2 linked regions of the Cricetulus griseus genome follow. The protein of the gene in region 1 interacts with the protein of each later gene in a pairwise test. Links are inferred from orthologs where the notes say so. Each region holds a gene or a part of one and is shown in the gene's direction. Other genes may lie near its edges.

Region 1 (11,906 bases):
CTGTCCTTTCAGGGGAAATCAGGCTGCCTATAAGCATTAGTTAAAAGGACCATTAAAATCAAACCTTCCCCAGATCCATTAGGCGAAGTCTCTCACCCTGAAGAAGATGAAGTTCTGCTGTGTGAAGTGTCATGAATAATTAGGTTGATTGCTGTTTTAAACTCTGCCCCAGCTTCCCGTCCCCTCCTGCCTCCCTCCTTCTTCCCTTCCAGACCGGGGGAAGAATTACCTGTGGCCAACCACCCGCTTTGCTCCCTCCGCTCGAGTGTTTCTCTCTTGCTTCTGTGGCCACTGCTATGGCTCTGTGTGCCTCTATGTCTGGGATGGGGAGATGGACTTCAAAGACCTCGCTGGATGTTTCTTCCAATGCATTTCTCCCCCCTTGCTAGCCCTGGTAAAGGGTGGCAGTGGTTGATTTCCTCTTGCCTTGGTGCCAGTCCAAAAAGGGCTACAGTAGACAGCTGTTGAAAGCAGACTTTTCCAAAGTGACATCCACAGATTCCTTACTGGAGAATATAGTAAGGGATGCCACAGAGAGTGTGGCTTCCTGGGCCTTCCTGGGACAGTGCCATCCCAGGCTGCATGGGGAGCTTTGGGCTTTTCTGTGTGCTCAATACGTGTGTGCGTGTGTTTGGCTGGGGAAGGGGGGGGGGCTCAGAAGGAACAGGAGAAGCCTTCAGGAGAGCCTCACTCTGCTGACAGTGTGTTTTCTCCTTGGGCCACTGTGGATGCGGGCATGTGCTCTCCCCCAGCCGGCCGCACAGGGCCTCCTCCTATGGGAAACTTTGCTGAAGACTGTGCATGCTAGACTGAGCTGCCCACAGCAAACACAGCTCCTGCTGGGCTGGTCTTTTAGGAAGCACCATAAAGATGAGAAAAGGAGGTGAAGAGTGACTTCTTGCTCTGGGGGCCACTTAGAAGCCCTCCCTCTGCCTCTATGCATTGAGAGTGTCCCTGTGTATCCCTAGGATGTCAGTCATGGGATGGGAACTGATGACTTTAGCTCTAATCCAATCCCTTTGCTTTCTGTACTAGTACCCCGGCCACAGAGCAATGAAGCTAGGAGGAGGCCCAGGTACCCTAAGCTTTGGTATTCCTTGGACACTGGAGTGGTGGGGTAGGAGAGGGCTGATAAATGGTAGGCTCTAACCACAACCCCCTTGTTTTTATTTCTTCTACTGCTGTCTTGACAGGCGCTTTGGCACAAAATGTACAGCCTGCCAGCAGGGCATCCCCCCAACCCAGGTGGTCCGCAAGGCCCAGGACTTTGTCTATCACCTGCACTGCTTTGCCTGCATCATCTGCAACCGGCAGCTGGCCACAGGGGATGAGTTCTACCTTATGGAGGATGGGCGGCTAGTGTGCAAGGAAGACTACGAGACAGCCAAGCAAAATGGTAAGCAGCATGGCCCCCGCATGAATTCCTCCAGTGCTTTGCGGGCTGTGCCTGTCTCTCAGTGTCCCTCCTATCCAGCCCTCAGGATGCAGCCAATACTCAAGCTCCTCCGAGAATTGTAGCCAGAGCTCCACAGGTAGAGTTAGTTTTAAGCACCCCCAAGCCCTTAGGCCTTGCTAGCTCTGTGAAGTGTTAATAAAGCCGTAGCTACTGATTTCTGCTGAAGCCCTTATGGGGTAGTGAACTCACCACCTCTGCTTGGAGCATGGCTGGGAAGCTTGGTTGACTGGGGACATTTGAGGTGCACACTTCTTCGTCATCCTATGCTTCACAGGCTGCCATCAGCAAGAGCCACAGGACTTGCAGGGCTGGACTGTTTTCAGTTGTCTCCTGTCTGTCCTCAGGCTGTGGACTCAGGGGAACTGACCTTTGAGTGCCTGAAGCCCTTAAGCTGGAGTGAGTGAGTGAGTGAGTGAGTGAGTGAGTGAGTCAGTCAGTCAGTCAGTCAGTCAGTCAGCCAATCACTGGGAGGGGCCATGTTTAGGGGACTAGACAGTATGATGGCCCTTACCTTACCCCAACGCCACAGCCCATGCCGCAGTGGAAACTTCAAGCGCAGTGCAGACTGATGTCACCCACCCATGTTTCCCAGCCATCCCGGGAACCTGGCCTCAGCTGGGCAGCCTGAGAAGCTTCTGCTTTTGCCCTCCTTGTCATCGCCTCACAGAGAAGAGGCTTTTCTCTCTGCACAAGGCTCAGTGTGTTCCCCATGTGCCACCCAGGAAGGCCAGTCCTGACTCTCACTTTTCTGAAGCAGGCACACTCTCTGCTTCTCAGTCACAGCTCTGGCAGTAGGGCGAGGGCATCATGTCCTGCATCTGTATTCAGAATTTGACCAAACCCAGTCTAGAACTCTTAAGCTACAACTCCCAGAATCAGGGTCTTTGTCCTTGACAAGAACTTTAATCAACTTAGTTATTTCTGAGGACGGCAGCTCTGTTGACGGGTCTGGGCTTGGTGGAAGCAAACATTCAGACAAATCATTTCATGTATTCCTTTCTAGTTCTTTCCTGGGTTCGCTTACCCATGTAACCTGGATCTGATTAATACATGGAGAAATTAGATTTTTTTATGGTGGGGAGCAGGCTGAGGTGGGGGGCCCTGTGATGAGCCAGCTGCTCCAACCTTGGCTTTGGGACAAGGGGCCTCATCTCTCTGGCCTTTACTAGTGGACCAAGGACTAGTAGCCTTTGTCCCACAGGGACCAGAGACCTCTGTATATCCCATCAAAAGCTCTGCCTTGATGAGCTCATGCACTCTACTTTAGTGGTTCTCAACCTACCTAATGCTGCAACCATTTAATACAGTTCCTCATGGTGTGGTGACCCCTACCGTAACAGTTTTTCATTGCTACTTTATAACTGTAATTTTGCTACTGTGATGAATCATAATGTAAATATTTGTGTTTTACAATGGTCTTGGGTGACCCCCCCCAAAGGCTGCCACCCACATGTTGAGAACTACTGCTATTGCTTTGGAATCCACCAGGATGTCACAGAAGGGTGTCAACACAGGTGGACTTAGAGATACCAAGACAATTTAGAACTGGACCCTACAAGACTTTCACCAAAACCACGCCTCTCCTGGGCCTGTGCTGGGTCTTATTTTCAAAGCCCTCATGTTGACCTTTCAAAGACCTCATGTTTAGAGCCCAGAATCTCCTGGTGCTGTGGATAATTCCAGAGAAGAGGGAGACTAGTATTAATGTCAAAGGGAGGCAAGGATGACATTTGCAGCACTTGTCATCTTATGGAAGAAGTTTGTTTTACTGCAGCTTCCTGTAGGACAGTGGAAAGCACTGGTCTTGGCATCCAAGGCTGGGTGGGCAGCTACAGATTTGGAGTTTCTCTGGCAGGTTGAGGAAGCCTTGCCACACTGCTGTTTCCCAAGGTTAACTAGGATGACGCTTATACAAGGGAGTGCTAAATAAGAGCAAGTCCCTAGCGGAGAGAAATGCAGACAGGAGATGAAGTGTGCTAAAGAGTTAGAAGAAGCTGAAGCTATGTGTGCTTGTCCCCTAGGTGTCTCTTGACTCTGTCTGTCCCTTCCATTCTGTGCAATCCTAGAGATCCTTGACACGATAGGGGACATTTGTCTGCTGTAGTATGTTTGGCTGTTGTTAGCTTTCATTCCTTCTTGTTGCTCTAAACCTTCTTCCAAGCTCATAATTAGGGAATTATGAGCTAAACAAAGGGTTTAGTATCAGCTATTTGCACCTTAGTAGGAATGATTTTGCTCATTCATCTTGTCTCCTTCGATATTTTCATTTTCAATATGCTGCATTTTTATGCTAGGGACAAGCTTTAGGAGACACTGTATAATTCAAAATGAACATGTGTTAAGGCTAATTTTCCATGGGAATTAGTGTTACAAGTGTGTGTTGTGGGGGTGTGTTCTGCAGTCACACCAATCCATAACCAAAGTGTATTTCGCCTTAATGTTACTTTTTATTTTCTCAGCATTATCTCCAGTACCATGCTGAACGCTCTCTCCTAAATTAACAGCCCAGGGTGTCATGGGCTTGCTTGGCCTTCCTCATAGTGTTTTTATCACATTTAACTTCCGCACCAAAGTTATTGATTTTTGGGTACATTTTTCAGCGTGAACACTGACACCACTACTTAATGAATACTTGGATGACATTGTTATAGGATATAAAAAAGATTTTAAATTATAATAACAGTGAATGTTAAAATAACAGCATAATAGTTCCCATAATCACATGAAGGAAGTCTGTGCACATGAGCACATGCTGTACCAACCAGCTACCCACCATCGTGACAGGGCACAAAGAAGTAATTTCTGACTCATTTGGTCAATCTGTTCTGAAACTGACTCTCATGATTGGGTTCCCTCCCCTGTCACACACACACACACACACACACACACACACACACACACCATACATACACATACACACACACACACACACTCACACATACAGTAACACACACACACACACACATACACTCATAAATACACATACACACACACACACACCCATACATACACACACACACACACACACACACACACATCCATACATACACATACACACACACACACTCACACATACAGTAACTCACACACACACACATACACTCATACATACACATACATACACACTCACACACGCACTCACATCCTGCCATACACACTGTTTCTTTTGAGTAAGAGCTTCTGATTGTGTTGTCCAGGCTGGCCTCAAACTCTTGGGCTCAAGTGATTCTCCTGCCTCAGCCTCTAGAGTAGCTGGGACTATATAGGCTTACACTACTTTTTCAAGCTGGAAGTTTGTACATAAAGGCCATCTACATATTTTGAAAGCACATCACTTCATATTTATATAATTCGGGTTTGTTTTAAACAGTTACATTGTGAAGTCTATAAATGTGGGCAGAAAGGACCCGGCCCTCACTACCACACTTAAAGTGAAGAGTTTCAATGATCTGCCTAGGGACTCTGTACCCTGCCCCTTGCTGGTCAAATTGGCTGAGAGCAATTCTGAGTTGACGGTAACTCTGAGGAGGGTAGGACACTGAGGCCTTCACCCTTCCTTGTGGGCAACTGCTGAATTTCCAGAGCATGGAGCCCCACATGGGGAATGGTCACCAGATTCACTCACCAGGAAGGCCCAACTCCATGTGTGGACTCCCAGCAAGCATCTCCTAGAACCAGGGACTGAATGCATTCAAGGCTCATAGCAAAGCCGTGCACAGTAGGTACTTAATAAATGTCAGCCAGTGTTGAGGTCCTAAATGAGGGCTTTTTAATTCAAATGGAGAAGTGGGGGAAAGGTAGGCAGGAGAGAAGTTGGGGCCATGTTATGTCCTGCCATCTTTATTCTGGGCTCCCCCCTGATTAAGTGTTGGGAGACAAACTGCCCAGGGTGGGTCAGCTCTGGAGGTGCTCCAGAGGGGAGGAGGCAGGCTGCCTGAGGAAGCTCCAGACAGACTACATTTTGGCTCCTTCCTTTGACTGTAAGCGGAGTATTTCCCATAACAGGGAAATAGGTGAATTATTTGTGCAGCGAACATGATACACTACGGAAACAAGCCTAAGGGGACTTCTTTGTGTTCTGTTTGTGACAGTCCTCTGTGTGGAGAAACTGACCAGGGAGGGGAGATGGGAAGGTGGGTCTTATGAACGGCTGCTCACCAGTGTCAGCATCCCTGACACTGCCTATTTCTCCCCCAGGTTGTCTGGGGTGGGGGAGAAGGCAGAGGAAGCCCAGCTGCTTCAGCTGGGCTAATTCCATTAAGGTGGTTTTCCCTGTAGATGACTCGGAGGCTGGGGCTAAGCGGCCGCGGACCACCATCACAGCAAAGCAGCTGGAAACACTAAAGAACGCATACAAGAACTCCCCGAAGCCTGCCCGGCATGTGAGGGAGCAACTCTCCTCCGAGACAGGCCTGGACATGAGGGTGGTACAGGTGAGACAGCTGTACGGCTTTGCCCCTGACGGATCCAGGCCAGGGCAGGTCTGTGCCCTCCACCTAAGTAAGGGAAGCTTGGGAACGTGAATGACGTCATCTGGTGGGTGGGTGGGACTGAGTCTACAGGCAGGGGAGTTCAGGGCCACCACCCTGGGCATGAGGCTCAGGCTGAGGAGACAACGGGCACCCTGCCCTTTGTTCTGACACACTACCGAAGCTTTGGTCCATTTCCAGTCACTTGCTTGAGGGTTCAGGGGCTTTAGGTACCTCCTAGGTGCTTGCGGTGCGGGGGCGGGGGGGGGCAGGGGTCTTTAGGTAGCCCCTGAATGTGTTCCCTGTGTTTTGTGGCAGGTTTGGTTTCAGAACAGACGGGCCAAGGAGAAAAGGCTGAAGAAGGATGCAGGGCGGCATCGCTGGGGGCAGTTCTACAAGAGCGTCAAGAGGAGCCGGGGAGGCAGCAAGCAGGGGAAGGAGAGCTCGGCAGAGGACTGTGGGGTTAGTGACAGTGAGCTGAGCTTCCAAGGTGAGCAGGGCTGCAGGGGTGAGGCTGAGGCCCTAGGCGAGGCCCTGGGGGACAGTAATCCTTGCCAACAGGAGGGATCTTTCTGATGACACCCTCCTGGGCACAGGGTTTTCCTAGACTTTCAATAAAGGGTGGGAAGGGTGTTAGTGGCCCTTCCAGAAGGGGTGAGGAGTAGAGAGCAAGAGAAAGCCGTTGCTGACATACAGAGGCTGGAGTCCTCCGGACCCAGCCTAGCCCTGTCCTGGCCCTGAGGCCTCCGCCACTTTGCTGTTGGCACACAGTTGTGAACACAGGATGGCCCTGTCTCAGTCTTTGCCCCAGCCCTCCTGCACTTCTCCCCTTTGCAGGGACACTGAGCTCCTCCCACGGCCCCCTAGAGTAAGCCGTTCCTCCAATCCTGGTGGCAGGAGGACATGCTCAACAGGCCTTTTCCTGGGAAATCAATAATGTGAGTGCATGATGGGGAACTGGCTGCGTTTCTGAAACCCCTCCCCCCACCACCCACTCCATCCTGCCCTCCGCACACCAGCTTTGCAGCATGCGCTACGTTCAAACTGTGCATCAGCAAAACTGCAAATTACCGCATGAGTGGATCCTCAGGTTGTTTGCAAATAACCATGACTGCTCTTGCTCACTGAGCCCTCAAATACAGAAGATTCTTTTTTTTTTTTTCCTTTTTTTCTTTTTTTATGGGTGGGGGAGGGAAGGGTCTGGAACTGAGGCTCGGAAACCTGATTTCTAGTGTAGCTGTCAAAGCCATCTGTTTCTCCTGAGCCTCATTCTATACGTGGGGAGAGCCCACATCCTATCCATCTCACAGAGCTGTCATGGGCGTCAGTGAGCACAACCAACTGTGGATGAGCTTGGGGAAAGCTAAGCAGACCTGTGTGTATGAGGACAAATGGGTGGCCTGGTTGTTCCCATGGGAGCCTGTCATAGGGGACAGCAGGTATCAAGGCCAAGTGGAGCTTGCCTGGAGCCAAGTCTAGTCTACACCTTCCTGCTCCCTTTGAGTGACACACGGTCCCCCCTTTTTTATGGTTGTGAGTGGAATGTGGGGATCAGATAGATAGGGTGTGAAGTTAGTGACAGTGGCCTTTTGTAGGAATCAGTGTGTAGGCCCAGGTAGTAAGGGGAAAGGAAGACACTGGAACAAGTTACCATGAGCACAGAGCTGCAAAATCTGACCTCAGCCCAGGGGGGCTGCCGAGCCCAAACTTAGCCTTCTTAGACCCAAGGAGGCCAAGGAGGTTCATGCCCACTTCCCAGGCATCTTGGCAGGATTGGGGAAACCGGTTACTCTCATCTGAGCTGCTCAAATCCATACTGGGAACACAGAAGCACCAATCCTTGTTTTGTGGCTCATTTCCCCTGGGTGTGGGTGGGCCTCTGGGTATAACATGTTCTCTCTGGGTAACACGCGATCTTGTAATTCTTAAGACTAAACCTGCTCACCCCTATTGGAGAGAGAAATTCTCCCAGAAAATTTTATTAGATTCCCCTTAATGAAATTCTTCAAGAAACCAGAAGGTCCATTTGCCTTAATCAAGTCATTCTTTATCCTCAGTAAGTAGGTTATTGGATACAGAAAGAAACTGAGTTCTTTGATACTGAACTGTTTTTAGGTGGATGGGGATTTTATATACAGGCCTCAGAGTGGTTTCCAGCACCTTTATCATACAGACCTGTTTCCCACCCAGCCAGAACAAGTACTTTTCTTGGTTTGAAAGCCTTCATAGTAAACCCTATCGGCAGTTTCCATTTGTAATGCAGTGTGACCCACCAAACCCAGACACGCACACTGTTCAGTGTAACCAGGGGATCTCAGTGCTATTCTAGACCAGTAAGTCCACGAGACACTTCCCAACCCATAGGGCTTGGGGATTTAGGTACAGGCGATCCTTGTTTTCCCTTTGGTCTGGGTTGGTTTCTGGATAGTAGGCTGACATGTTGGTGTCTGACCTGTGCTTGGCAGGGAGGCAACTGCTGCCCGTGGGCATCCTTCCTGGTCATTGTATTGCTGGTTATGAAGAGCAGGGACCACCAGAGTCCTGGCAGCTGACAATATATCTCCGTTCTTTTGTCCACAGAGGATCAGATTCTCTCAGAGCTTGGCCACACCAATAGGATTTATGGCAACGTGGGGGACGTTACAGGCGGACAGTTAATGAATGGGAGCTTCTCCATGGATGGGACAGGACAATCCTATCAGGACTTGAGGGATGGGAGCCCCTATGGGATCCCCCAGTCTCCATCCTCCATATCGTCCCTGCCATCCCATGCCCCTTTGCTCAATGGGCTGGATTACACAGTGGACAGTAATCTGGGCGTCATTGCGCATGCAGGGCAGGGAGTAAGCCAGACACTGAGAGCCATGGCTGGGGGACCCACCTCTGACCTCTCCACAGGAAGCAGTGTAGGCTACCCTGATTTTCCAACTAGCCCAGCCTCCTGGCTCGATGAAATGGACCATCCTCCTTTTTAGACTTTTCTCCCCACTTTATCTGTCCTCCTGGCTTGAGCGAATTCTTCAAGGATCAAAAGAGACTTACCTCTTAAGGATCAAAAGTGCGCCAATGTGAATTTCCATTATTTTCAATGGAAGTCCTCTGCTGTTCTAGAAAGAAGGCTGAGACCACACTAGGACACTGCTTTCTTGGGAGGTGACAGGAGAGCAACCTCATCTCAACCACAGCACAGGGGTGGACAGCCTAGAGCTCTAGGGCCGCTGGCTTGCTGGCTCCCTCTCCTCTCACCTTGCTTCCAGGCTTTGGCTGCTCAGTGCTTTGATAGCACAAGGTGACCGTGAACAGGCCACCTTGGCCTATGGGGACTCTGCCCAGCCTGTGCATCTTACCCTTTGTCACCTAAATCATCACTTTCACCAGAACCAGGATTCCTGAGGGAGAGGCACCATGGCCCTTGAGAATAATAAAATGGTTTCTGGACCACTTTGATTATACCCTCATTTTCAAAGTAAAGTCAGTTATTAAAGGCTAGTTAAAAAAACACCGATGGCCACAGTTTGTTATAAAAAAAAAATATGGCCCCATCCCATTCTGTTTGTTGCGGTGACACTATGACTTTTTTCCTACTTGCAAGTGCAACCCAGAGTGAGTCTGGGTTTAAAAAAAAAAAATATCCCACCTGTATTGCTGAATCCCTGATGGCAAGAAGTGGCTTCCACTGCAAGTGACCCTGAGACGAAAGCCGAGTGTCTCTGGATCTTCTCACACAGTCTATGAGTCCCCTTGGTGCACAGTGCCTTTTAGTTTGCTTATATCATTTCCTCCCCAAGACAGGCTGAGGGCTACAAAATGATCCAAGCTAAACCATGCAGAGACCAGAATGACAATCAGTGAAAACATTCATACACACATTCGAACTCCAAACATGCAGTCTGTTTAGCCACACCGGCAGATGCTAGTCTCCCCGACTTCCCTGGCCTCGTGATGGGGTGGAATGAAATCTGGAACATTCACTGTACTCTGAGAGGGTTGATTTTGATGACTTTGCAAGGCTGTTCTCTCTTGAAATGAAAGCCTCCTCTGCCTTACTAGCTGATTCAGTTGAAAGACAAGGACCAGCCAGGCTTTTTTTTTTGGGGGGGGGGCTTAACTTGGTTTGGAAAATAGCTGGGCTCTCTGGGTTGCTGGCTAGACTTGTGCCATGCTGCAGGCTTCAGTCCTGTGCCCAGAAAGCCCCAGCTCCCTGGCCAGCCACAGTGCAGGGACTCTGCCTCCAGAAGTACTTCACTAAGCCTGCAATAGGAGTGAGGCCAGTCTGGCTCTCAATCTGTCATCTGAGAGAGGCTACTCCTCTGTGGTAGACATGGCTGTGACTGGTGGCAACTGCTACTGCTGTGGCCCACTTCTGGCCACCAGGAAGTGTTCCATGTTCAAAATGGGAAGTTAGCTAGCTGGAATTTATTCTCACCCCCTCAAGAAGCTGGTTCATTTCTTCTGGCCCTGCATTCTTTTAAACAAGATCTGAGGGGTAGGAAAAGATGAGCAGGCATTATGTTTCTTTTACACGAAGTGATGAAACCAAAGGCCCAAGGACCCTCGTTTCTGTCAGTCATGTTTGAGGGACACATTTCCTCTTTGGCTGCTAGCTTCTTTCAAAGCTAAGTTCAATTAAGCTTCCTTAAAGAAACAGTCAGTTCTCTGATCAGTTCTGTAGAAATGCTTTGGTGAGCTGTAGCTGGCCTGGCTTTGCTTTCGAGAGTGCAAACAGACTGCTTTCTTGAGATCTCATGTCTTGATGACATTCACTATTCAGTGCTACTAGAATTTCCCAACAATGTGAATGCTGGGTTAATGATGGAGACACAGATGCAAGATAATATGCCATGTGAAAGAAATGGCAAGCATCAATGTGAAGACCCAATTCCTAAATACCCCATCCTCAGCAGACTGCCCATTAACACACAACGCCAGGCTGGGCAATCTAGCTGGAAAGCTGCTGTAGCTAGGCCACCACCTTAGTTCGACTATTGGTTAGTGTCTCATGGGTTTGTGTTTTTGAACATCCTATATAGCACTATTGAAGACTGACTGAAGTTAATTGGGTTTTGGTTTTGAGGATGAGTTACTCATACTCTCAATTCACTAGTGGGAGAGCAGGAGGCTGTTCTCACACTAACACTGTATCTTGAGGAAGATGGTGAGCATTGCAGTGATGTTGACAGAAGCTTCTTGGGGGGGGCTCCTTTTTGGGGGGTGCACTGAGCTGGAAGGGCTCTTGGGAGAACACTGGGTAGGAGGCTTTCTTTTAAGTTCCTTTCAGAGCCAGCTCTCTAGAGGGCAGCATACTCTAAGTGCCCATTTAGAAGCACAGCCTCAAGTTTTTAGTGGATCTCCCTGCAAGTTCTGTTGCGTTTGGGCTGCTGTCCCAGTGGGCACTGCATGCCAAGACCGTTCTTAGACTTGCCCATGGTTCAAGATGGAGAACTGGATGCTTCCTTGTGAGAAGCCTACAGTAGGATACCAGTACCCTCTGGAAGCGCATTTCCTCCTTGTCCAGGGGCAAAAGTGATTTCAAAACATGAAAAACATGAAGCGTAAACTATTTTTTTTTTCCAAGACAGGGTTTCTCTGTGTAGCTTTTAGAGCCTGTTCTGGAACTTGCTCTTGTAGACCGGGCTGGTCTGGAACTCACAGAGATCTGCCTGCCTCTTCCTTCCTGAGTGCTGGGATTAAATGCGTGCACCACCACCACCTGGCCAAATCGTAAGCTTCTAGAGGCATTTACAATATTTGGGTCCAACTTTGCCTCTAAGAGAACATTTAACTGACACTTATGTTAGAGTGCATCCAGCAGACTTCTGAATTCTAGGGCAAATTTAAAAATTAAGTTAAAAAACAACAAACAAACATCCCTGTTTCCAGTGGCAAGGATGGAAACAGAGTGATTCTGTATTTGTGGGAAAGTGATAAAGCTACGGGAACGTCCAACCCAAGGGCTGCTGACCAGCTGGGCAGAACCTCTT
Region 2 (12,343 bases), on another chromosome or scaffold:
CAACTCTTACCTGGTAAGTGATGTCAGGTCTTGCAGGCTCAGCACTGCCACCCCCACTGAAGCCCCCAGTGATGGCATGACCCAGGGTGTGACCCACCGCAGAGCCCACAGCCACACCAGCTGCAGTGGTTGCCATCTGGGCCATCAGGCCTGGCTGCCTGGGTGCAGCAGCAGGGGAGCCAACTGCAGATGGTGCAGCTGCTGCTGGAGGCTGAGCTGCAGGTGCATGTCTAGGAGCAGCCCTCATCTGAGGGGCCCGGCTAGGAAAGAAAAGAACAAAACTCATCAGATCCCAGTTCCAAATGGCTTTGGAATTTACTGAAGAAATGCGGCAAGCCAGGTTTGGTGGCACAAGCCTGTAATGCCAGCACTGGGATGGCAGACACAGGAAGAATCAATAGGCCAAAGCCATCCTCAGCTACAGTGATTTCTTCCTCTTCACTAATGTTTCTCAGAGTATAATCATTGCAGCATTTCTGCCCTCCCTTCCCTCCTGGCTCCAACCCCCTCCCATAGATCCCTCCTTGATTGATTTCAAATTCATGGCCTCTTTTTTTATTAGCTGTTACTAGATGCATATATGTGTATACATACACATTCCTACATAGAACCTCAGTCTGTATGTTACTTGTATGTATGTGTTCAGGGCTGACCTCTTGGTATTGGATAACTAAATGGGTGTGCTCTCTCTGGGGAAGACTATCTCTCTTGCCTTTCAGTATTCTTTAGTTGCTTGTAGTTCCTCATGTAGGTTGAGGCCTTGTGAGCTTTTAATTATACATATACTTTGGCATATCTACTGTCATCCTCATTCTACATCGTGATTTTAAGGCCAATCTGAAAAAGATACCCTCTCCTAAAAAAACAAAAACCAACTAACCAACCAAAAACCCTAGCCAAAACAGTATTCTGAATCTATGAATGCTCCTACACCAGCCTCATCCAGTGCTAGGATTACAAGCCTTTGTCATCCGCCTGGCTTCATTTTAGATTTATTTTATTGTGTTATATTTTATGTGTATGACTGTTTACATGCATCTGTGTCTTTGTGCCACTTGCACACCAGAGAGGGTGTTAGATCACCTGGATCTGGAGTTACAGATGGTTTTGAGGAGCCATGTGGATGCTGGGAATCAAACCTGTGTCCTCTGAAAGAGCGGCAAGTGCTGTGAACTATAAACCCAATTTTCCAGCCTCATTTTAAATCTTCAAACACCTGGGCGGTGGTGGTGCATGCCTTTAATCCCAGCACTAGGGAGGCAGAGGCAGGTGGATCTCTGTGAGTTCGAAGTCAGCCTGGTCTACAAAGCTACACAGAGAAACCCTGCCTCAAAAAACCATTAAACAAACAAATAAATAAATAATTTTCCCTTTGTACAGACCTTTAAAGCTTGTAATCCCAGCCGTAGGGAAGCGGAGTCAGGAAACTCAAGGAAGACTAGCCAGACCTATATATCAAGTTCAAGGCTAGTCTGAGGGGCTCAAAAACACAGTAAGACAAAAGCACCTCAAGACCTTCACATATCATTCTTTCCCCGCTTCTTTGTAGACTATGTCCTCTAAGGCTCTTCCTCCTAAGCAGTTTAGGAATAAGTTCACGCTTTAGGGTCCTATGCGGTAGTGCACAGAGCGTGTCCCGGTTCCCGGGGAGCCCTCTTCCCCAGGAGCGGATCCCTTCCCGACTGCTCGCACTGTCTCACCACCCACCGCCCTCTGGCTACGGAACATCGCCCTGGCCGCCCGCGCTCAGTTCCCAGCCCAGAGGAGGGTCTCACCTGCCCGGAGTGGACACCCGGGAAGAGCGGCTTCGGCTTCCACGCGGCATCCTGGGTGCTATTATAGTCAGCTTCCAAACAAAACAAACTCTGAAACGCCCACGAGCGTCCAGCAAAGAAAGGAAGGTGGGAGGCGGGGTGTCAGCGCATAGCCAATCGGGGTCCAGGAGAGCCCGGGCTCTGAAGGTCATTAGAAGACCAAGACGTCAGTAATCAGTAGGGGCTGCGTCTGACGCTGGGAAGTTGCTTGGCGACGGGGCGCTGTGTCCAACCGGAAGTTCTTGGGATTGCTCTGTCAAAGCTTGTTCTTCGATTCTGTGAGGGATGGTTAAGTTTTTGCTTCCAATAGACAACTGGCTTCCTCCATAACCCAGGATGTCCTTGATTTTGATATCATCCTGCCTCAGCCTCTCAAGTAAAATGGATTGGGGCATTACAGGCATGTGCCATCATGCCTACTGTATTAACAAGTATTAAACCTGAAACTTGGGAGGAGAAAGACTAAATATCCATGATTGTCTACTCAAAGTAAGCTACGATTTAGAGGTACACCCGGACTGGCCTGTCTCGCACTAAGTTGGCATTTAAAAAGCACTGGACTGTTGAGGTTCCTTTTATCGGGGAGAGATAAAGATTAGTAGAAAAAAGCTGTGTAGTTACAGAGGGGAGACAATTGGCTGTTAGAGATTGTTAGAAAAATACAATGAAAGAGGAAGACGAGTATGTACATCTTGTTAATGGGTCACACATTAGATTTAAGAAGCAGCCTTACTCTTAAATAGAAACCTATTTTTGTAAAGTTTAGGGGATTAACATAATGGGCCCTTTGATTTGCAAGGTATATTGCTCCTGTTTTGCCTCACATATACTCCCATGCCCCCCTTGGCCTGTGTAACCCTTCCAAATCTTTGACAAGGTAGCAGCGGTGCCTGATGTTGTCGGGTAAACAGGATTCTGGCATTGAATATCTTTCGTGTGATAAGGCTAGAAATACATTGAAAAACAGTGCCCAAATATTATGATTAATGAGAGAGCTATCAAGGGTCTGATGAAGGGGAAGAACCATCTCTGCCTTGAGATGCCAATCAACCTGTGCCTTGCAGATTTTATTTCTCTATGTAAGTCATTGCTTTGGTTATTAATAGTGTGGGAGAAATATGATACATTGTAACAACACATTCCAGGGAATTGTTGATATCTAAGATTATGTCTGAGCAGAACCTCTATGATAGCTCTATTTTGTAAGACTGTCATTCTTAACTCTCCCATTTTGTGATTAATTTTTGCCAGTATCTTTGCTGTACTATTAGTAGTTTTAGCTATTTAGCAGGCTACTTTAGAAATCCCCTTTTACACCCCCACAACCAATCCAGGCACAGGGAATACAAAGGCAGCTTCGACTGCTATTGAGGTGGGGTCTAGCAGATGTAGCGAGTCAGCACAATTCTCAGTTCCCTGACTTCATAATTCTATTAACGGTTGTAGAGACTTACTGAATAAAATAGGTGTGATGCACCCTCACCCATACATGCCCTTTTATAACCTCTGGGGAGGACAGAATAAGTGTTAGTCTCACAGAAAAAAAATTCATCACGGGTGTAATTGTTTTCCCTAGGGGAGCACATGATTGGAAGTAGCATTGCGTGGGAGGCATATATCAGTACAATATAGCCTTGGAAATGTTTACAGGGGCATGTTCTATGGAGTCCCCTGTTAAATTGGCATGATGTCATAATGTTTATATGTGACTCCTATTCAACATGTTAGTTTTTTCCCAAGAGCCCAGGAATTGAAGAATTAAAAGGAACTTGTCTGTCTGCTATTTGACGCTATGTGGAGCCAAAAACTGGCATCCTATCTATTAGCTGTAGACAGTGACATGTTAATTTTGATCGAATCTACTAAGGAGTCTGTTTTCTCTTTTTCATCTTAATACGTTTGTAGTTTCTATTATTAGATTTTGTTAAAATATTTAATTATGCTCAAGTCTGTATTGTTACATTGGGACTGGTCAGTCAAATTAGTCCATTCCAGTTGCCCTCCTTCCATTTGGATAAGAATGAACTGTCGAATTGTTTTCCTTCCTTCAGCCAAACAATAGGACCTGGGGGCTGGCAACAGTCCCTAGTCTTACAAAGTAATATTAAAGTATTTCCTGTTACAAGTGTACCTTCTATTCCCCCAGTTAAAAGATAGTATCAAGTTCTAAGGCAAACTGGAGCATAATTGTTAATGAGATATGTTCAGTTACAATCCACCTCTTTTCCTTTTGGAAGTCAGAGGACAACCTACATTGATGGATTCTTTGCTTCTATGCCTCTCAGGGGATTGAACTCAAGTCCTCAGCCTTGGCAGCAAACCCCTGCATCTCACAGACATCCTTACAACATTGTTAAACACTCACTTAAAATAGATAATGCAACAGACTATCACATTGTTGAGCAACTGACAGCCCAGCCATCCTTCTTTGTGTAGGAGTAGCTTCTCCAGTGTGGTGGCAACCCTACTTCAGTTTGTTTATTGGGCATATGTGATGTATGCATGAGTGTGCTGGTGTATTCATGTGTGCTATCTTCCTCACTTGCTTCTCCACATTGTATTTTTAGTATTTAAAAAATTTTAAATTATAAAGCTGGGCGTGGTGACTAGTGCCTTTATTCCAAGCACTCGGGAGGCAGAGGCAGGTGAATCTCTGAGTTCAAGGCCAGCCTGGTCTACAGGAACTCTTGGGTCCTCTCCAAGCACAATGCATGTTCCTAACTGAGAACTATCTCTCCAGCCACTCCACCGTATTCTTTTTTTTTTTTTTGTCTTTTGAGATAGGGTTTCTAGTAAAGGTGGGATTGAAAGGTTCAGGCATTATGCTGGCCTGCCCCTGTTAACCTGGCAGAATCCACTCAGGCAGTACCCTGGTCAGCCCAGCGTTCCATGGGAATTAAGTCTGTAGGCAGGTGTAGAGGACCTCTTTAAAAGACAGACCCCTGCCCATTTATGCTCTTTCTGCCCCTCTTCTCTCTTCTCTCTCTCTCTCTCTCTCTCTCTCTCTCTCCTCTCTCTCTGCCACTCTCTCTTCCTCACTCTCTGTCCTGTTATGTTCTTCTATTTCTCTCTCACTAGCTTTCCCGGGTTTCGGCACCAAATGTTATATTTCTGATTAAAAGCACACTCTATGGAACATGAACCATGGAGAGCATAAAGAGTATATTAATCATAGAGTTTATTACGACGGGAGACCGAGAAATGGAAGAACAGAGTAGGACAGAGAGAGAGAACCATTTCTTTTTGTTTTTTTTTTAAGATTTTATTTATTTATTATGTATACAACATTCTGCTTCCATGTGTATCTGCACACCAGAAGAGGGCACCAGATCACCAGATGGTTGTGAGCCAGCAACCATGTTGCTGGGAATTGAACTCGGGACCTCTGGAAGAGCAGTAAGTGCTCTTAACCTCGGAGCCATCTCTCCAGCCCCAAGAACCATTTCTTTAAAGTCATGTTCTTAGATATGGGAATGGATCTCACAGCTAGTTTTGAGCCAGGGTGGCCTCCTTTTATTATGGGAATGGCACCTAATTGGAGGTCAACCTTGTTGACTAAACATTATCAGAAACTTTCTTGGCCACCTGAAACTTCAATGAAGGTACAGAATTTTCTTCACCACAGTTTCTTTCTCTTTGTTTTAAGTTTATTCATTTTTATTTTGTACACATTGATGATTTGCCCTGGGTGTCGGGTCCCCTGGAACTAGGATTACAGACAAGTTGTGAGCTGCCATGTGGGTTCTGGGAATTGAACCCGGCTTCTATGGAAGAGCAGCCATCTCTCCAACCCCTTCCCCACAGTTTCTAATAAGCCTGGTTAGTACACTGTCTTCCAGTTATACCGGAGGCAGCGCTCCTTTAGCTAAATTCTACTTTGTTTTGGTTTTGGTTTGGTTTGGTTTTTCGAGACAGGGTTTCTCTGTAGGTTTGGAGACTGTCCTGGAAACTCGCTCTGGAGACCATGCTGGTCTCGAACTCATAGAGATCCGCCAACGCCGGGCTAAATTCTACTTTGTTTAACTTAATATTTCTAAGCAAGTTTATTAGTAAATCCTTTACAACATCAATTTTAGTATGAGTTTCTCCTGCAGCGCCAGCACTAGGAAACTGAGTCGTGAGAACAGCGAGTTCGGGCCAACACCCGTTATGTGAAACCTTGTCGCAAAACAAAACAATCTGAGAAGGGTTAAAAAAACAGCCCAAGGCCCTCTGGTAGACAAGGCAGAGATGACTCAGTCAAGGTTGCATTTAACCTTGTTAACTCAGTAATCATGGCGGCATATGCCTGTAATCCCCCAATCCAGTTTACTTGAGAGGCGGAGGCAGGTGGATCTTAAAATCAAGCATGAGTTGTTGGGGAAGCAGGTCGTCCCTTGGAAGCAAAAACCTAGCAATGAAGCACAGAATCGGGGGACAAGATTTGAGAGCGCAACCCCATGAACTTCCGGCTAGCTACGGGGCCTGGTCGCCAAGCTCTAGACTTCCCGGCGTAGGGCGCGGCACCAGGGCGTTCGCCGTTACGGATGTCTTCATCTCCCAATGACCTTCAGCGCTCGTGCTCTCTTGAGCGCTGATTGGCTGCCCTTTGAGAACCCGCCTCCCGCCTTCCGTTCTCCTTGGTAGAAGTTGCTGGACGCTCGTGGGTGTTTCGCAGTTTCTCGTCTTTGGACTCTGCTTGTCTGATCACCCAGGATGCCGCGTGGAAGCCGAAGCCGCTCTTCCCGGGTGGCCCCTCCGGCCAGGTGAGACCCTCCTCGGGGTTGGGGACTGAGAGCGGGCGGCCAGGGTGACGTTGCGTAGCCAGAGAGCTGCGAAGGCGGCGGGTGGTGAGACAGGGCGAGCAATGAGGAAGGGACCCGCTCCTGGGGAAGAGGGCTCCCCGGGAACAGGGACACCCTCGGTGCGCTACGGCAGAGGACGCTAAAGCGTGAACTTTCTCCTCCACTGCTTGGGGGGAAGGGCCTTAGAGGACATAGTCTACGAAGAGGCGGAGGAAGAATGATTTATGTGGAGGTCTAGAGGTGGTTTTCTTATTAATTTTGTTTCTCCTCTCTCTCTCTCTCTCCTCTCTCCTCTCTCTCTCTCTCTCTCTCTCTCTCTCTCTCTCTCTCTCTCTCTCGTCTCTCTCTCTCTCTCTCTCTCTCTCTCTCTCTTTTTTCGAGACAGTGTTTCTCTGTGTAGGCAGGCCTGGCTGTCCTGGAACTCGCTCTGTAGACCAGGCTGGCCTCAAACTCAGAGATCCAGCCGCCTCTGGCTTCCGAATGCTGGAACTAAAGGCGTACGCCACCACTGCCTGCCTGGGGTGGTTTTCTTTTACTGTGTGTGTGAGGTCCTCCGGCTAACCTTGAACTTGATAGGCCTTGCTAGTCTGCCTTGATTTTCCTGACTCCGCTTCCCTACGGCTGGGATTACAGGCTTTAAAGGTGTCTACAAGAAAATTAAATACCTGTGTATAGGCCCTTTCCTTCCACCACTTTGGTCCAGAATATCTTAACACTTAGTTGCAAACATTATTGAGAGATCTCCTCGGCCCACAGGAAGTGGGTAGATAAGTAGAAATTGTTGACAGCGCCTGGAATACAGATGTTTCTTTTTGGTCAAGTATTGGTGTGCACGCCTTTAATCCCAGCACTCGGGAGGCAGACGCAGGCAGGTCTCTGAGTTCGAGGCCAGCCTGATCTACAGATCAAGTGCCAGGATAGTCTCCAAAGCTACACAGAGAAACCCTGTCTCGGAAAACAAAACTAGACAAAAAAACCCCAGATGTTTCGTTTTGGGGAATATAATTGTAGAAAGTTAAAGATTGTTTCTGTAATGGGAGGGAGGCTGAGGACTGTATATGGTAAGAGATGCCCCATCTATCCCCAAGATAGCTCTCCATGCTCCTGTCTCCCTAAAGGCAAGGGTAGGCACCAGTTCAAGATAGCAGTGGTGCTATCTATAGAGAGACCCAGGCTCGGAAAAACTAAACGAGAAATAAGATTAGTAAAAGTTGCAGTTCAGAGCCGAGCGTTGGTGGTGCATGCCTTTAATCCCAGCACTCGGGAGGTAGAGGCAGGTGGATTTCTGAGTTCGAGACCAGTCTACAAGAGCTAAAAAAGTTGCAGTTCAGACAGGTCATTGTCCCTAAGTTTTTCTTTTTGGTTTGGATTGGTGCTTTGTTTTGTTTCTTTAATACAGGGCTTCACTGTGACCCTGGCTGTCCTGGAACTCAGATCCATTCACCTGCTCCTGCCCCCTGAATGTTGGGATTAAAGGGAGTGGGCCACCACACCATACCCAGCTGCCTTAACCTTTTGTGATTGGTAAAGTGAAGGTCTTGGTGTACATTCTGAGCATTACCTCATGACTGTTTTTTGGATTTTGTTGACTTTTTTATCGTTACATTGTGCAAGCTGGTCCCAAAGCCATGTGCTAAATGATCTTGCCCCCCCACACACACACACACTGAATAGCTGGGACTACAGGTATATTTTGCCAAGCCAATGCCTTCTGTATATTTTCTTTCTAGTTTAGTCAACCCAGAGTCCCATGCCTGCCCAGAAAATGCTCTGCTAATCCAAGCTCTAAATTGTTTTATGTCTGTATACCTGTGTGAAGGTCAGAGGGCAGTTTGTGGGAAGTAAACATCCTTGTGGATTCCAGGATTCTAACTCAGGTTTTCAGGCTTGGCAGCAAACACCTTTCACCAGTGAGCTCCCCAAGCATGAACTCCCCAAGCTCTAATCATATCCCCTCACCCGCAATAGAGTTTCTCTATGTAGCCCTTGCTGTCCTGGAACTCACTTTGTAGACCAAGATGGCCTAAAACTCAGAAATCTGCCAGCCTCTGCCTCTGGAGTGTTGGAATTAAAGGCGTGTGCCACCATACCTGGTTGAGTTCCCAATCTTTTTGTTTGTTTTTGTTGTTGTTACCATTTTTTGAGAGGTGGGTTTGTGAGCCTTGGGAGGCCAGAGGTGTCAGGTGGCCTGGAGCTGAGATTCACCATGGGCTAAGAGCAGTATGCAGTCTTTACTGTTGAGCATTTCTCTACCTTTTCAACTTAATAGCTGATTTTATTTACTTAGTATACAGTGATCTGCCTGCATGTATGCCTGCACGGCAGAAGAGTACGATAAGATTTTTTTTTTTAATTATTTACTTATGTATACAGTGTTCTGCCTGCATGTCTGCTTACAGGCCAGAAGAGGGCACCAGATCTCATTATAGATGGTTGCAAGCCACCATGTGGTTGTTGGGAATTGAACTCAGGACCCCTGGAAGAGCAACCAGTGCTCTTAGCCTCTGAGCCATCTCTCCAGCTCAATAGCTGATGATTTTATGGAGTATTGGAATAACTGTTCTTTAAAGATACTGTGGGCCATGTGGATACATGAAAACAGTTTTTTTTAAAGGGACAAAATAGTTATACTTGGTTGTTAAAACTTTAGCAAGGTTGGTGGGCACACTTTTGATCCCATCTCTCAGGAGGAAGAGGCAGGTTGATCTTTGTGAGTTTAAGGCTAGCCTGGTGTACAGAGCTAGTTCTAGAACAATCAAGAATACACAAAGAAACTATTTTGTGGGAGGGGTGGGGGCGCTTAACAGAAGATTGAAGAGGTACAGTGCTATATATGTATAATCAGTTAGTGAAAACAAGTTTCTATAGTCTTCTTGCTGGTGGGTGGTATATATATTTAAAGGCAGTTGTGGCACACACCTTTATTCCAGCCTTGTAAGATAAAGTGTGTTCAGGACTGCCAGGACCACACAAACAAACTCTGTCAACAAACACACACACATACAAAAAGATGATTTAAAATGGGGCTAGAAAGTTTGCTTTATAGTTAAGAGTACTGACTGATGATCTTCCTGAGGACCTGCGTTTGATACTCAACACCAACATGGGCCCCTCAAAACCAGGTCCAGGTGATCCAGAGCCCTCTTCTGGCATGCAAATAGTACAAAGACATAGTTGCATGTAAACAATTATAAAATACAACAGTAAAATAAGAGATTTAAAATGAAGCCAAGTCAGAGTGACAAATGCTTCTAATCCCAGCACTGGATGAGGCTGATATAGGATTCATAGGTTCAGAGCTAGCTGTGGTTTTTATGGTTGGTTGGTTTTTGTTTTTTTAGGAGAGGGTATCTTTTCTCAGACTGGCCTTAAAGTCACAATGTAGAATGAGGATGACAGTAGATATGCCAAAGTATATGTATGATAAAAAGCTCACAAGGCCTCAACCTACATGAGGAACTACAAGCAACTAAAGAATACTGAAAGGCAAGAGAGATAGTCTTCCCCAGAGAGAGCACACCCATTTAGTTATCCAATACCAAGAGGTCAGCCCTGAACACATACATACAAGTAACATACAGACTGAGGTTCTATGTAGGAATGTGTATGTATACACATATATGCATCTAGTAACAGCTAATAAAAAAAGAGGCCATGAATTTGAAATCAATCAAGGAGGGATCTATGGGAGGGGGTTGGAGCCAGGAGGGAAGGGAGGGCAGAAATGCTGCAATGATTATACTCTGAGAAACATTAGTGAAGAGGAAGAAATCACTGTAGCTGAGGATGGCTTTGGCCTATTGATTCTTCCTGTGTCTGCCATCCCAGTGCTGGCATTACAGGCTTGTGCCACCAAACCTGGCTTGCCGCATTTCTTCAGTAAATTCCAAAGCCATTTGGAACTGGGATCTGATGAGTTTTGTTCTTTTCTTTCCTAGCCGGGCCCCTCAGATGAGGGCTGCTCCTAGACATGCACCTGCAGCTCAGCCTCCAGCAGCAGCTGCACCATCTGCAGTTGGCTCCCCTGCTGCTGCACCCAGGCAGCCAGGCCTGATGGCCCAGATGGCAACCACTGCAGCTGGTGTGGCTGTGGGCTCTGCGGTGGGTCACACCCTGGGTCATGCCATCACTGGGGGCTTCAGTGGGGGTGGCAGTGCTGAGCCTGCAAGACCTGACATCACTTACCAGGTAAGAGTTGGGGCAGCTCTTCCTTTCTGTGTTTCTATTTTCTGAGAACACTGGGCAACTTGTATGTAGGAGCCCGTGTTTGGTTTTAGGATCCACAACTCTTCAAGTACAAAGTGGTGTGCCTCCCTCCTTCCTTTTCTTAAGTGGGGATTGCTGGAGGTATGGTTCAGTGAATAAGCACCTAATTCTGAAGCCATGTGGACCTGAGTTCAAAACCCATGAACCACAAAAAGTCAGGCCTAGCCATACATATTCTGTAACTCCTGCACTGTGTAGGGGAGACAAGCAGATCCCCTCAACTTGGCTGGCTGGCAGTTGTGGTGAAATGACCTGTTTCAGTGAGAGGCCCTGTCTCAAGGCAATAGGATAGAGAGTGGTAGAGGAAAGACACCCCATGTCTTGGTTGCCTCTCTTTGGGGCACACCCACCCAAATGCTCATGTTTGAGCATCACATCAAAAAGCCACATAGCATGACTTAAGTTAAACCTTTAGACAAGCATCAATAAATAGACAAGCATCAATAAATAGAACAGACTGGAAACATAACCGTCCAGCCCAACTTCTGTAAAATGGCCCTTTTTTATTATGTATACAGTCTTCTGCCAGCATGTATATCTGCAGGCCAGAAGGGGGCACCGGATCTCATACATGGTTGTGAGCCACCATTTGGTTGCTGGGAACTCGGGAAGAGCAGCCAATGCTCTTAACTTCTGAGCCATCCCTCCAACCCCCTGCCTTGGCTTTATCTTGGCTATACTGTTGGTTTCTGTTGTTTCGCTTGGAGACTAAGTCTTCAGTGTGTGACCCAAGCTGACTTCAAGCTTGTAGCAGTCTCCTTGTTTGGTTTCTCAAGTGTTGGGGAGTTACAGCCATGAGGCCTGGCCTTTCAGTTCAGTCTGTTACATAATCACAAGTCCCTTTCACAGCTTTTGACCTGATATTTTTCCCCCTCCCCCTCTCCCTGGGGTGTTTGCATTTTGAATGTGCTAAGGATCATGTACTCTTGAAATGTGGTGTATCTGAAGTTCTCATCCATCTCTTTCCAATAATAGTCCTATTTTTCCTTAAGAATGGTTCTCCTTGGGCTGGAGAGATGGCTCAGCGGTTAAGAGCACTGACTGTTCTTCCAGAGGTCCTGAGTTCAATTCCCAGCAACCACATGGTGGCTCACAACCACATTGAATGAGATCTGGTACCCTCTGCTGGCATGTGGGCAGAAAACTGTATACTAAATAAATAAAATCTTTAAAAAAAAAAAAAAAAAAGGAATGGTTCTCCTTTTTCTATATTTGTAGTGTTGGGGTTCAAACCCAAGCCAAAGCACACAATCTTATTGTTGAATCCCTAGCCGCGTGCGTGTTTGTATGTGTGTGTGTGTTTACAGTGTTAACATCAAGTCCAGAGCCTTGTGTGTACTAAGCAACTTTCTCAGTACTACCTAATATTATGTCTTGGCAGGAGCCCCAGGGAACCCAGCTGCTGGACCAGCAGCGAGGGCCATGCTCTCTTGAGATCAAACAGTTTCTGGAATGTGCCCAGAACCAGAGTGACGTCAG

The links.
Region 2: the proteins of Lhx4 (region 1) and coiled-coil-helix-coiled-coil-helix domain-containing protein 2 interact in binary tests that used the Homo sapiens proteins (3 or more experiments, as listed by UniProt). The two-hybrid records come from large-scale screens. The link is inferred for Cricetulus griseus from reciprocal best matches to the Homo sapiens genes LHX4 and CHCHD2.

What each region holds. Positions count from the first base shown.
Region 1 is NC_048598.1:36,048,550-36,060,455, forward strand, and holds the end of Lhx4 (LIM/homeobox protein Lhx4), read left to right. Parts: intron 1-1,193; coding exon 1,194-1,396; intron 1,397-5,734; coding exon 5,735-5,889; intron 5,890-6,243; coding exon 6,244-6,415; intron 6,416-8,505; coding exon 8,506-8,900; downstream 8,901-11,906. UniProt on the Homo sapiens protein: May play a critical role in the development of respiratory control mechanisms and in the normal growth and maturation of the lung. Binds preferentially to methylated DNA.
Region 2 is NC_048597.1:109,159,649-109,171,991, reverse strand, and holds the start of coiled-coil-helix-coiled-coil-helix domain-containing protein 2, read left to right. Parts: upstream 1-6,398; 5' UTR 6,399-6,509; coding exon 6,510-6,559; intron 6,560-10,536; coding exon 10,537-10,786; intron 10,787-12,245; coding exon 12,246-12,343. Other genes in the region: zinc finger BED domain-containing protein 5, read right to left, coding at 11-286. UniProt on the Homo sapiens protein: Transcription factor. Binds to the oxygen responsive element of COX4I2 and activates its transcription under hypoxia conditions (4% oxygen), as well as normoxia conditions (20% oxygen).